Linked DNA regions of Drosophila melanogaster. The protein of the gene in region 1 interacts with the protein of each later gene in a pairwise test. Each region holds a gene or a part of one and is shown on either strand. Other genes may lie near its edges.

Region 1 (4,562 bases):
CTGAAAAGTGATTCCAAACTAGCGCTTCTATTTATTTGGGAATCTATAAGTTACACCCAACAAAGGTCGAGTTCAGCATATTCAAGACACCCAATGGTCTCCCGTTTTAGGGAGGAGCTCGTGCTCTAAACTCAGCGAAAGTTTATTTTTTGGGTATAGATAATTATTTGTGTTGCTTCGATTAAAGGCCTAGTTGCATTTATTAATTATATTTTTGCTTACGAATGAAAATAACCTTGGTGCATTTAATTTAAAATTTTAAAGTTGATTCGAGACTTAGTATAGAGCTGCCATCTCTTGCGTGAAATTCAAATTAGTATATGTGTGAATGGTAAACAAGAATGGTAAATGATAAATTGCATGCGATGACTTTGTATTTCCGCGTATATAAATTTTGTATGGGCACGTGTAAGAAGTCCCCGATCAGTCGTTACGTAATCGCATATAAGTATCCTCGTGACTACACCGTATATGTGCTAGACCTTGTATTCTGTATAGGAACCACACATATATATGTTATATCATAACATTTTATATACCAATTTATGGCCTATTTATTTCAATAAGGTTTGATCAATAGAATACCAGAGAGCGATTTCAATTAAAAAATTATTACATTATAATAGGTGCATACTATTGTATATATATCACTTCTTGATGTAACCAGTTGCGTATACTTTATGCAATCGATTGTGTCACTCAGTGCACCTATTTAGATCGGCTCGTGAGGAAAAAACCTTATAGCTACCACCATTCAAGTAATTAAATAAAAGACATGTCTATGTGTTGTATATATTTATTTAATTCCATGACGCAATTACGAAAGTGAGTCGGTGGGTTGCCTATGTACTGCTGAATCAGACTAGGATCCTTACCAACGACCACAGTGCTAGTAGTGCCACAAAGCAAAGGACACCTTGCAGGATATGATGGAGCAGCTTTAAACTAAAATACAATTAGATGTAATACACTTTGTAAGAAACAGAAAAGACAATGGAAACTACCGCTTAATGAGCTTCTTGCCCTGTGCAATGGACTCTGGGGTGGGTGCCTCGTTTCCCAAGAACTGTCTCATGCCACGCAGAGCTTGAACGAAGTATTCCTTCCAGTTGAGGCTGACCATATCAAAGTAGTATATCCTTCGATCCTCCTCCGACATCTGCTGCCTCAAGTGATCCGTATTCCGCATGTCAAAGCGCCAGCTTTTGCAGGCGAATGGGCCCAGGATGCCGAGAGTCTTGTGGATCTTTTGGTAAACCTTTACTAGTCTGGGCTTCCGGCCACTCAGCCAGAGAGCCAGGTCAAAAAAGTAGGCTGGCAGGGTGTGATAGAAGAAAGCTGCCAGGGGGAAGAGCCACGGCACTGTGATGCAGTGGATGAAGGGATACCATATCATCTTTGTCAGCGGGCAGTTGGTGCGTCCATCGAGAGCATGTCGAATGAACTCCCCGTGGGTGATCTTGTTCTGCTCAATGGGCGCCAGTTGGTAGATGAGAGGAGTTTCTTGTGTTCCCATCTCGTTACCTTCCACAATGGTCTTCCAGGTACAGGCCAGAGTCAAATTGGCACAATAATCCACGGGCACCAGGCTTGCCTCGGCATGGTGATCGATGGTGGCAATGCGCAGTACTCCACGGGCCACCCCGAAAAGAATTGCCATTGGTCCGTACATGTTGTCTATCCAGCCGGAGATGGGTTCCTTGTGGGCCGCAATAACTGGGTAAGGGTAGAAATGACAAGATGTAGACAGAGTACGTAATAAGGATTACTTACTGACTGCCGGTCGGAAGATGCAAAGTGGCAAGCCACCCGCTTCCTTCAGGATCACATCCTCCGCCAGTGCTTTGGTGTACGTGTACGTGTTGGGAAACGAGCCAAGGAGCGCTTGCTCCATGTTGTCCAGTAGCTCGTCACTCATCAGCTCTGCCATTGCAAGCACCTTATCGGAACTGCAGTTGAGATGCTCGGGGTAGAAATTTTCCTTGATGTTGTAGATAACGCAGTTGGAGAAGGCGGTCGATACATGAACGAAGGCCTCCAGCTGCCTCATTTCCTTGGCCAGTTGAATCATCAGCTTGGTGGCCCTTGTGTTGATGGCCAGGGCCACGTGAAGCGGCTCATTGAATCGCACGGTGGCAGCTCCATGGATGACAATCTGCACCTCGGAGGCCAGAAGTCTTCGATCATTCTCGCTGATTCCCAAATCAAAGTCGAGGCAATCCCCAGCGATGGGACATACTCTTTGAAGTGCCTCCGGCTTGGACTTCAGCAGCAGTTCAAATACCTTTTCCACACCTTTCGAGTGAGTATTTCTTTTAAATTTCCTATCGCCTTACTTACCGCATCTTTTGACCAGGTGATAATCCGATCCTTAATCTCAACTCCGCGCTTTGGTCTAATTAGCACATAGATGCGTTTCACCTCTGTGGTCCGCAAAAGTTTCTCAATAACGACTTTACCCAAAAAGCCGGTGGCTCCAGTTAGGAACACCGTTTTGCTCCGGAAGCATCTTTGAATATCCGTATCCATTTTTAGAAGTATGGTTTACGCTTGAATTGGCGGCGAAAAAAAGTCTATCCGATAGAAGCAAAAGTTGCAGTCGTTTTTAACAAAGAACGGCTTTAATGAAAATCACCTTGATTTCACTGCGGATATTTATACAAAATTTTCGACCGTGCGGTGAACTGAAGACCCAGGGCTGGTAATCACGAATAATATTATAGAACTTACTTACGCATCTGGTTTCCAATTTTATTGTATGCCAGGGTAATGGCTCCTAAAAGTAGTGAAAGTTGTTTGCTATTTAAATAAACTCTTCAGTTTACTTTATTACTGCACCCCTGTCTTATTTCCCTATATGTTCATTTCCATATTCTTTTAATCGAGTATAGCCTATTTGCTAACCAAATGCGCTACAAAGGAGGTCTAAGTACGGATTTCAAGTAAGATTATGAAATACGAACCATTTCTTGTTTGTAGAATTTATTGGCTGTCAGTGTCGTTCCCTATTGAAACATTTAATTTAGTGATGAAAACAACTAAATATAAAGATTAAATTACGAATATTTTGAAAAATAAATAATAAATGATACCCAGAAGGTTTTAGATTAGTTCATGATTAGATAACCGGTTATTTACATTTATTAAAAAATATTAATGTGTAATTTAAATACTTATTTTTGCGAACATGTCGACATAAATATGTAACGCTCTACCTTTGTGTTGAAACTGTGAAGATTTCAAATTTATCAACTTCCTATGTTTTTCCGCCAAAGTAGTAATGACTGTAAAAAATGTATGTTTGCAATTGCCTACTTTTGAAATAAGCAGCTAACTGGATTTGTTTTAAAACGTCATGGCAGCCTAGACGAAATACGGTCTGCAGCTTAACATTTTGTGTCACAAAAATAAAATAAATAAATAAAAAGATAATAATTATTTTGAGCATCGCGCATGTGATGTAGAAAAAGTCTTACCCGCGCCCATAGCCCATCGCTAGAGCCAACTATCGATATATATAGTATCGATTTTCTTATTGACAATCAGAATCAGCTGTCTAGTTGTATAATTTTTGATGTGAGGTGAGGAAATGGCATGCGCCAAGAAATTGCTTTTTCGCGTTTTCCTGAATAACTCTTTGACGGCGAACCGCACAATCACCATGTCCGCCGCGCGACGTGCCGAGGAGGCCATTGAGAAGCTGAAGGAGGACAATCCCTACTACTCCAAGTACGCGAGCAAGATTGCCAAGTTGCAGCAGACGTCGGCTGAGGAGTTCCTGGATCGCGTGGAGCGTGTGGTGAATCCCATCAAAGATGGGCAGAGCCAGGCCAGGTAAGCTCAGTATTCGGGCAGAAGACAATCCATAGCTGATCCCTTGCCAATTCCAGGTCCTACTCCGAGCTTCTGAATCCCAAGCAAAAACTGCAGGCTGAGCAGGCAGCTGAACTGCCCCACAAGAAGCTCACTGATATCATGAAACTGGAACTGATTGAGGACAAGACCGCCGAAGAGGTCTCCCAGATTTGGCTGGAGTACCATAAGACCAAGGAGGTCCTGGCCGCCACTCTAAGCACATCTCAGTACGAGAACCTCATGGCGCGCGCCAAGGAGCACCCCGTCTTTCTGCTGCCACTGCCCCGCAGTGAGGGATTCGAGTTTGTCATGCTCCAGTTCGCAGCCAACACCGTGCACTTCACTCCGCTTTTGGCGTACCAGGTGCACCATGAGAACGCTCCGGAGTGTCTCACAGTGGTTCACTATACCGAGGTCCAAGACAAGGGTGTAGTTCTCATGCGCGGTGAATACGACACTAAGGTACTCACAGCCCAGGAGGCTCAGTGTCTGGCCAATGAGTTGCAGATGTTCTACCTGAAGCCCGACGAGGGCAAGCTGCGCTTGCTGAACACTTTTACCCGTAAGCCGGACGAGTTCAAGCACATGGATCTAATTAAGGAAGTTGAGAACATACAGCTGGTCTAGGCCCTGCGATTTTAATCAAAATAAATAGAACAAACACGACAAGGATATATTAAACACGAAACAGTATTCGTTTTGCAAAT
Region 2 (5,078 bases), on another chromosome or scaffold:
AACTCGTTTATCGATTCAAACTGGTCCCGCGAACCCATCGATTTGCGCTCTGTGAATATGAGTTCTATGCAGTCGAAGGCGTTACGCATCTTACTCGAGGAAAGTTTCTGCCCCCGGCTTATTGATTTTTCCACGGGTTTCCATTTCTTATCTGAATGATTGGCCTGCAAATATAGTCGGTGGTCAGTTTACTCGCCACCCGCCTTCGGCTGGCCAAAAGGTATTTGAACTGCGGGGCCAATTGTTTTGACCACGTTTGGTCAACCATTTGAGGACTAGGGTTGCCAGGGCAACCACTAAATAATTAAGGGTCCGCGCATTGATTTGTCAACGTGACCGAGGGCCAAACAAAAATCGGAGTTGAATCGTAAAAAGTGCTCACACTTCTCGGTTTATTTGTTTGTTAACCCAAAAACATCATTTTCCCTTTTCCTGGAAGTTGCTTTTCCGAGGAAAAGCTTTGACCGGCAAAGGATGCGCCATGCGAAAGAGAAAATAATGGAGAGCGGAGAGTAAAAAGAACGCTGAGAGGGGTTGGAAAATGCAGGCAGTTACACGAGCAAAAAAATTATATTAAATTTAAGTTTTGTTTTTAGTTTGTGGCAGGCGAAAAATGAACTTTAAACTGGTATAGAAAAAGTTTAAGTATTAATAAAATAAAATTGATTTGTAATGGGGCTCTTAACTACTACTTAGTGCAAAAACATACTACCGAATTAAATATAAATCGAATTAAATTTGAATTGTTTTACATTTTCTCTATAATACCTTCAAATGTTGCCCTATTTATTTATTTATTTCATATTTAATAATAAATGAGATGCTTTAAGTTATTTTTTTCTGTGCACAGTTTTTCCTGCCTAGTTTTCCTGGCTTTCAACAGCGCCAACAGCCAGTGACACAGTTTCCACATTTTGGGGTGGCTTCCAGGGGTGTAGAGAGATACGGAACCAGAAACGAGGGTTGCAGATGGACGAGGCACGCAATTTGGGCCTCTATCGCACGGAGGATCGCCGCAACGTCTTCATAGAGAGCCATTAGGAACACACCCAAAATAAAAGCCAAGCCCAAAATTGAGCAAACCCTGAGCTCGGTTGAAGGATGTGCGGAAAAATGTGGCGTTTTCTTTTTGGAGGAAGAAAAAAGGGTTTGCTTCACTTACCGTATCACAAAGAACGCAATTTGTAGATGTAATTATAGTTGTTGAATCCGCAGGATAAAGTGTGTTGCAATTTGTGTTGTTCGTGGAAGTAAAAATGGATGGCATTATTTGGGGAGAAATCACAACCGTAACCGTAACCACATATGTAATGGCTTTTTAGCCCTGATTCTGCGACTTGTCGGCCGAAATGTACTTGGTTTTCAGGTGTTAGAAAACATATTTATAAAATGCAAATACCCAGTGATTGATTAGTGACAAAAAGCTTAGACCCTGCTCAATTTGTGGGTATTCATGTGCATGTATTTCAGTATGGTTTGCACGTGAGTTAGGTGGCCAAATATATAAAAGTTTCATTAAATTCCAGAGCCAGTTATTTAGGGCCAGCAATTTCTCTGTGCGAAATGCAAATCGATAAAGGAGAGGGAGTGTGGTGGTTGGTTTTCAAAAGGGGGTGGTGGTGGCGGGCGGAAAAGCTTGGCACACATAGTAAACAAATGGTGTTTTCACTGAATTTTTATATGCTCTACTCACACGGTTGACCGAATTTTAAAGGCCACGTTAGCAAATAATATTCCTACGAATTTCGATTTAGTGCAAACAACAAAAAGTTCTACCAAAACACTGCCGATTATTCTTGTCTCAAAAATAATGCCGTTTCGTATTTTATTACTTAATATTTTTCAAATTATTTAACTATTTCGCTGCAGCGAGATAGAAGATAGTCGTGCTCTTCTCGCGTTGATGATGAAATTCTTTCGTTTGTTATTGTTCTTTTTTTTTGTTGTGTTTTTGTCACTTTGTTCGTTGCGAAGATGGCGATAAAGGAGAAGCGAAGAGGGGAGGCGAGGCAAATCGAGTAGACGTGTGAAGAATTTTACAAACTTCCGTAAAATTAACTAAAATTGAAAGACACAATTGATATCTTTTGTTCAATAAAGTCGTCATTTCAGCAATAACAATATTTTCGATTTATGCTAAAAAGTGTAAATCTAAGTTTTGACGCTTGAAATTGGCATTTTGCTATATAAAATTTAGTAAAGCATTAAAAATTCCACAATATTTAAATTCAAATCGAATGAAGCCACTCAAGTTACAGATAATCAAAAACAGAATAGTGGAAGCCACTCAAGTTTAAATAAAATACAATCGAGTTATTCAAGTTCGCCTGTGTTGTATTCAAACTTAAGTTCAATGTCGTCGGTTGCTTCCGCTTGCTCATAAAAGTTTCTTTTGCGATTGTTTCTCTGTTATATTTGAATGTCTTCGATAAGAAATCATAACATTCAAATTATGTAGATTGTCCGTTGGCCTTTGTGTGCTTTACACTGCACTACCCGGTTTTAGTTTTAACTACTTTACACTGACACGTTACTACTGGGCCACACAGTCGCTTTAGTGGTTTTCTATTTAAACTTGGCCAACATTTAAATTTCCCCAGCCACAATAACAACAACAACAATTAGAACCACTGAAGAGAAAGAGAGAGAGCGAGACAATCAGCTGTTTGCAGCATCAATGAAGAACGCTGCTTTTCGGCAGTCTTTAATTTCGATTTAAGTTCGGCATTATAATAAATTGTTTTTGTGTAGAACAAGCAACACATAGCCACACACGCACACACAGAAACACGCGCGCACAGTTTATATGTTAAATTGTATATTTCTGCAATGCTTTTTAAATATTTTGCTGCGGTACAACAAATATTTTTGCGGTTTGTTGCCAAATTTCCCATATACAACGTACACACGCTTATCGAATAAGCTTTCGTTTTATCATTTTGTTTCTTTATTTTATGTTCTTTTTTTTCTGTTGAGCACTAGGAACAATAAGAAATCTTTGCCGCCGCTATTTTATTTTTCATCCGCGAACGAAACGAACACCAACCTTACTCGTTGAATGTCAAAGAGAGAATAACATTCGCTCATAACATTAATGTTAAAAGAGTAGAAGAAAAATTATCGATATTTGTCGTCTTGGTATCGATAGCCATGTTTAGGCACTTGTTGCTCCCTGCAAATGTTGCGCAACATGGTTTCTAAAAAATATATTTTTTATTGATCTTAGTTTTTAAGTTCATTGTAAATTTGGAAGAAACAATTGTATCCATGTTTATAAGTTTCAACATTGAAAAATCGATAAAGCAACACATAGATTTTGTGGCAACTCCATATACTATGATTCGAATCCAAACCGCAGAATCCTTTAAACTCAAAACATTTTTAGCGGGAAAGCAGCTCGTTTTAAACTGCAAAATTCAAACATAAATAATATAATAATTTTAAATCTGAAAAATAGCAGCCTAATAGTCCAAGACCTTTACTGCCATAAATGTAGAAAATTGAAACAAATGTTGGTTTTTTTTTTACATACAAACGTTGCTGTTTATTTCACTTTACGTTCTTTTGTTGAATATGCATATAATGTTTTTGCGCTTCTACTTCGTTTCCCGATCGCCGCCGCTTCTATAACTTACGCCCCTTAACGATCTAAGTGAATCCGTTGCTGATTTTTAATATATATTTTGATCTCGAGTCAATGCTGGCTGCTACATCGTTTCCTCATCTCTTGTATGTATATTGAATATTCTGGTTGTATATAAGTGTATAATATATTTAATTTAATACATAAAAAGGTTGCGCCCACTGCAAGGCGCATCGATTTTCATTTGCTTCGTTTAAAATAGTTTACGTGTGTTTAATATTAAATTGTTTCCATTGTTTTCGCAATGCAAAGATCATATATAAAAATACAAAAATCATAACATTTACATACACACCGGACCGGACCGTGTGTGTGGCCGTCATATAACTAGGTATTTCATATACTCTATATAATCATATATATCATATATCGACGCAACCTCGCACAGTCAATATAAATTATTGTTAAATTACAAAAAATTAAAATGTATATATGTATTCGAATTATACACAACTACCACTCTCTATCGCTTTCACTTTTCAGTATAAATAAATTTTTGTCCACTTAATAAACAATTTCACTTCTTTATGCTTAAGAACTAAACTCTTCTTATCCTTTATCCTTCCTCTGCTCCCGCCTCGTGTCCTTCCTTTCGTCCTTCCGCTTTCCCACTATCTGATCCACCTTTTTTTCCGATTTGCTTGGCCTGCTATCTTTCAATAATTTCGCTATTTAGTCTTAGTCGTATATGGAAGTTGAATTGGTACGCATATGTTCAGGAGCGGCATTTTGCGCCGAGTCTGGGGGGAGTGTACATTATTTATGGGCGTTCCTTTATATATTTATAAGTATTATTAATATGTATAATACGCAGCAGTCGATTGTTAATTTAGCTTTCTAATTTCGCTGTATAGATCGTATAGATCGCTGGATCGCAGTAATTATTCGTGTGACACTAATGCTAAGTTGCTCGAGCTAACTCTGAGTCCTGAACACCACGCTCAATTCCGCTTTGAACTGTTTTTTTTTTTTGTTTGTTTGTTTATGTTTCTGATTTGCTGAAGACTTGCTGGTTCTTAAATTGAGTCGTATGAGATCGTGTGCTTAGGAAAATGTTGTGGTTTTGTTGTAGGAAATGCGTGGAGTTTTTCCATTTTTTCAGGAGCTTTGATGGATGACGTTTGTGGAATTGTTTTCATTTCGTTTTTGAGTCGTAATACTAGTTCCCTTTAGGTTAGTTTAATGAGTAGTCCATATATATTAAACCACATATATATATATATATATATATGCATGTTTTTGTGGCTGTGTATAGAGAGATACGTTCTATGTATAATTACAAACGTTGTTCATTTTGATTTTGTTGTTTTTTGGTACGAAACAATAGATAAATCCCGGCGAGCATAACAAACTAAAAGGTAGAGGTGGGGTAGTATGGAGAACAAACGAAAAAAGGGGGGGATGATTACGATATACCGAAGATTGCAAGCAATTC

Evidence for each region.
Region 2: the proteins of CG17562 (region 1) and CG10737 interact in a two-hybrid assay, tested with the Drosophila melanogaster proteins (one large-scale study listed by BioGRID).

The regions. Positions count from the first base shown.
Region 1 is NT_033777.3:16,613,376-16,617,937, reverse strand, and holds CG17562 (uncharacterized protein), read right to left. Parts: upstream 2,630-4,562; 5' UTR 2,530-2,629; coding exon 2,341-2,529; intron 2,285-2,340; coding exon 1,774-2,284; intron 1,717-1,773; coding exon 1,005-1,716; intron 946-1,004; coding exon 858-945; 3' UTR 784-857; downstream 1-783. Other genes in the region: CG10340 (uncharacterized protein), read left to right, coding at 3,590-3,834, 3,891-4,482.
Region 2 is NT_033778.4:19,162,144-19,167,221, reverse strand, and holds the start of CG10737 (uncharacterized protein), read right to left. Parts: upstream 3,080-5,078; 5' UTR 3,047-3,079; intron 2,059-3,046; exon of another isoform or gene 1,163-2,058; intron 1-1,162.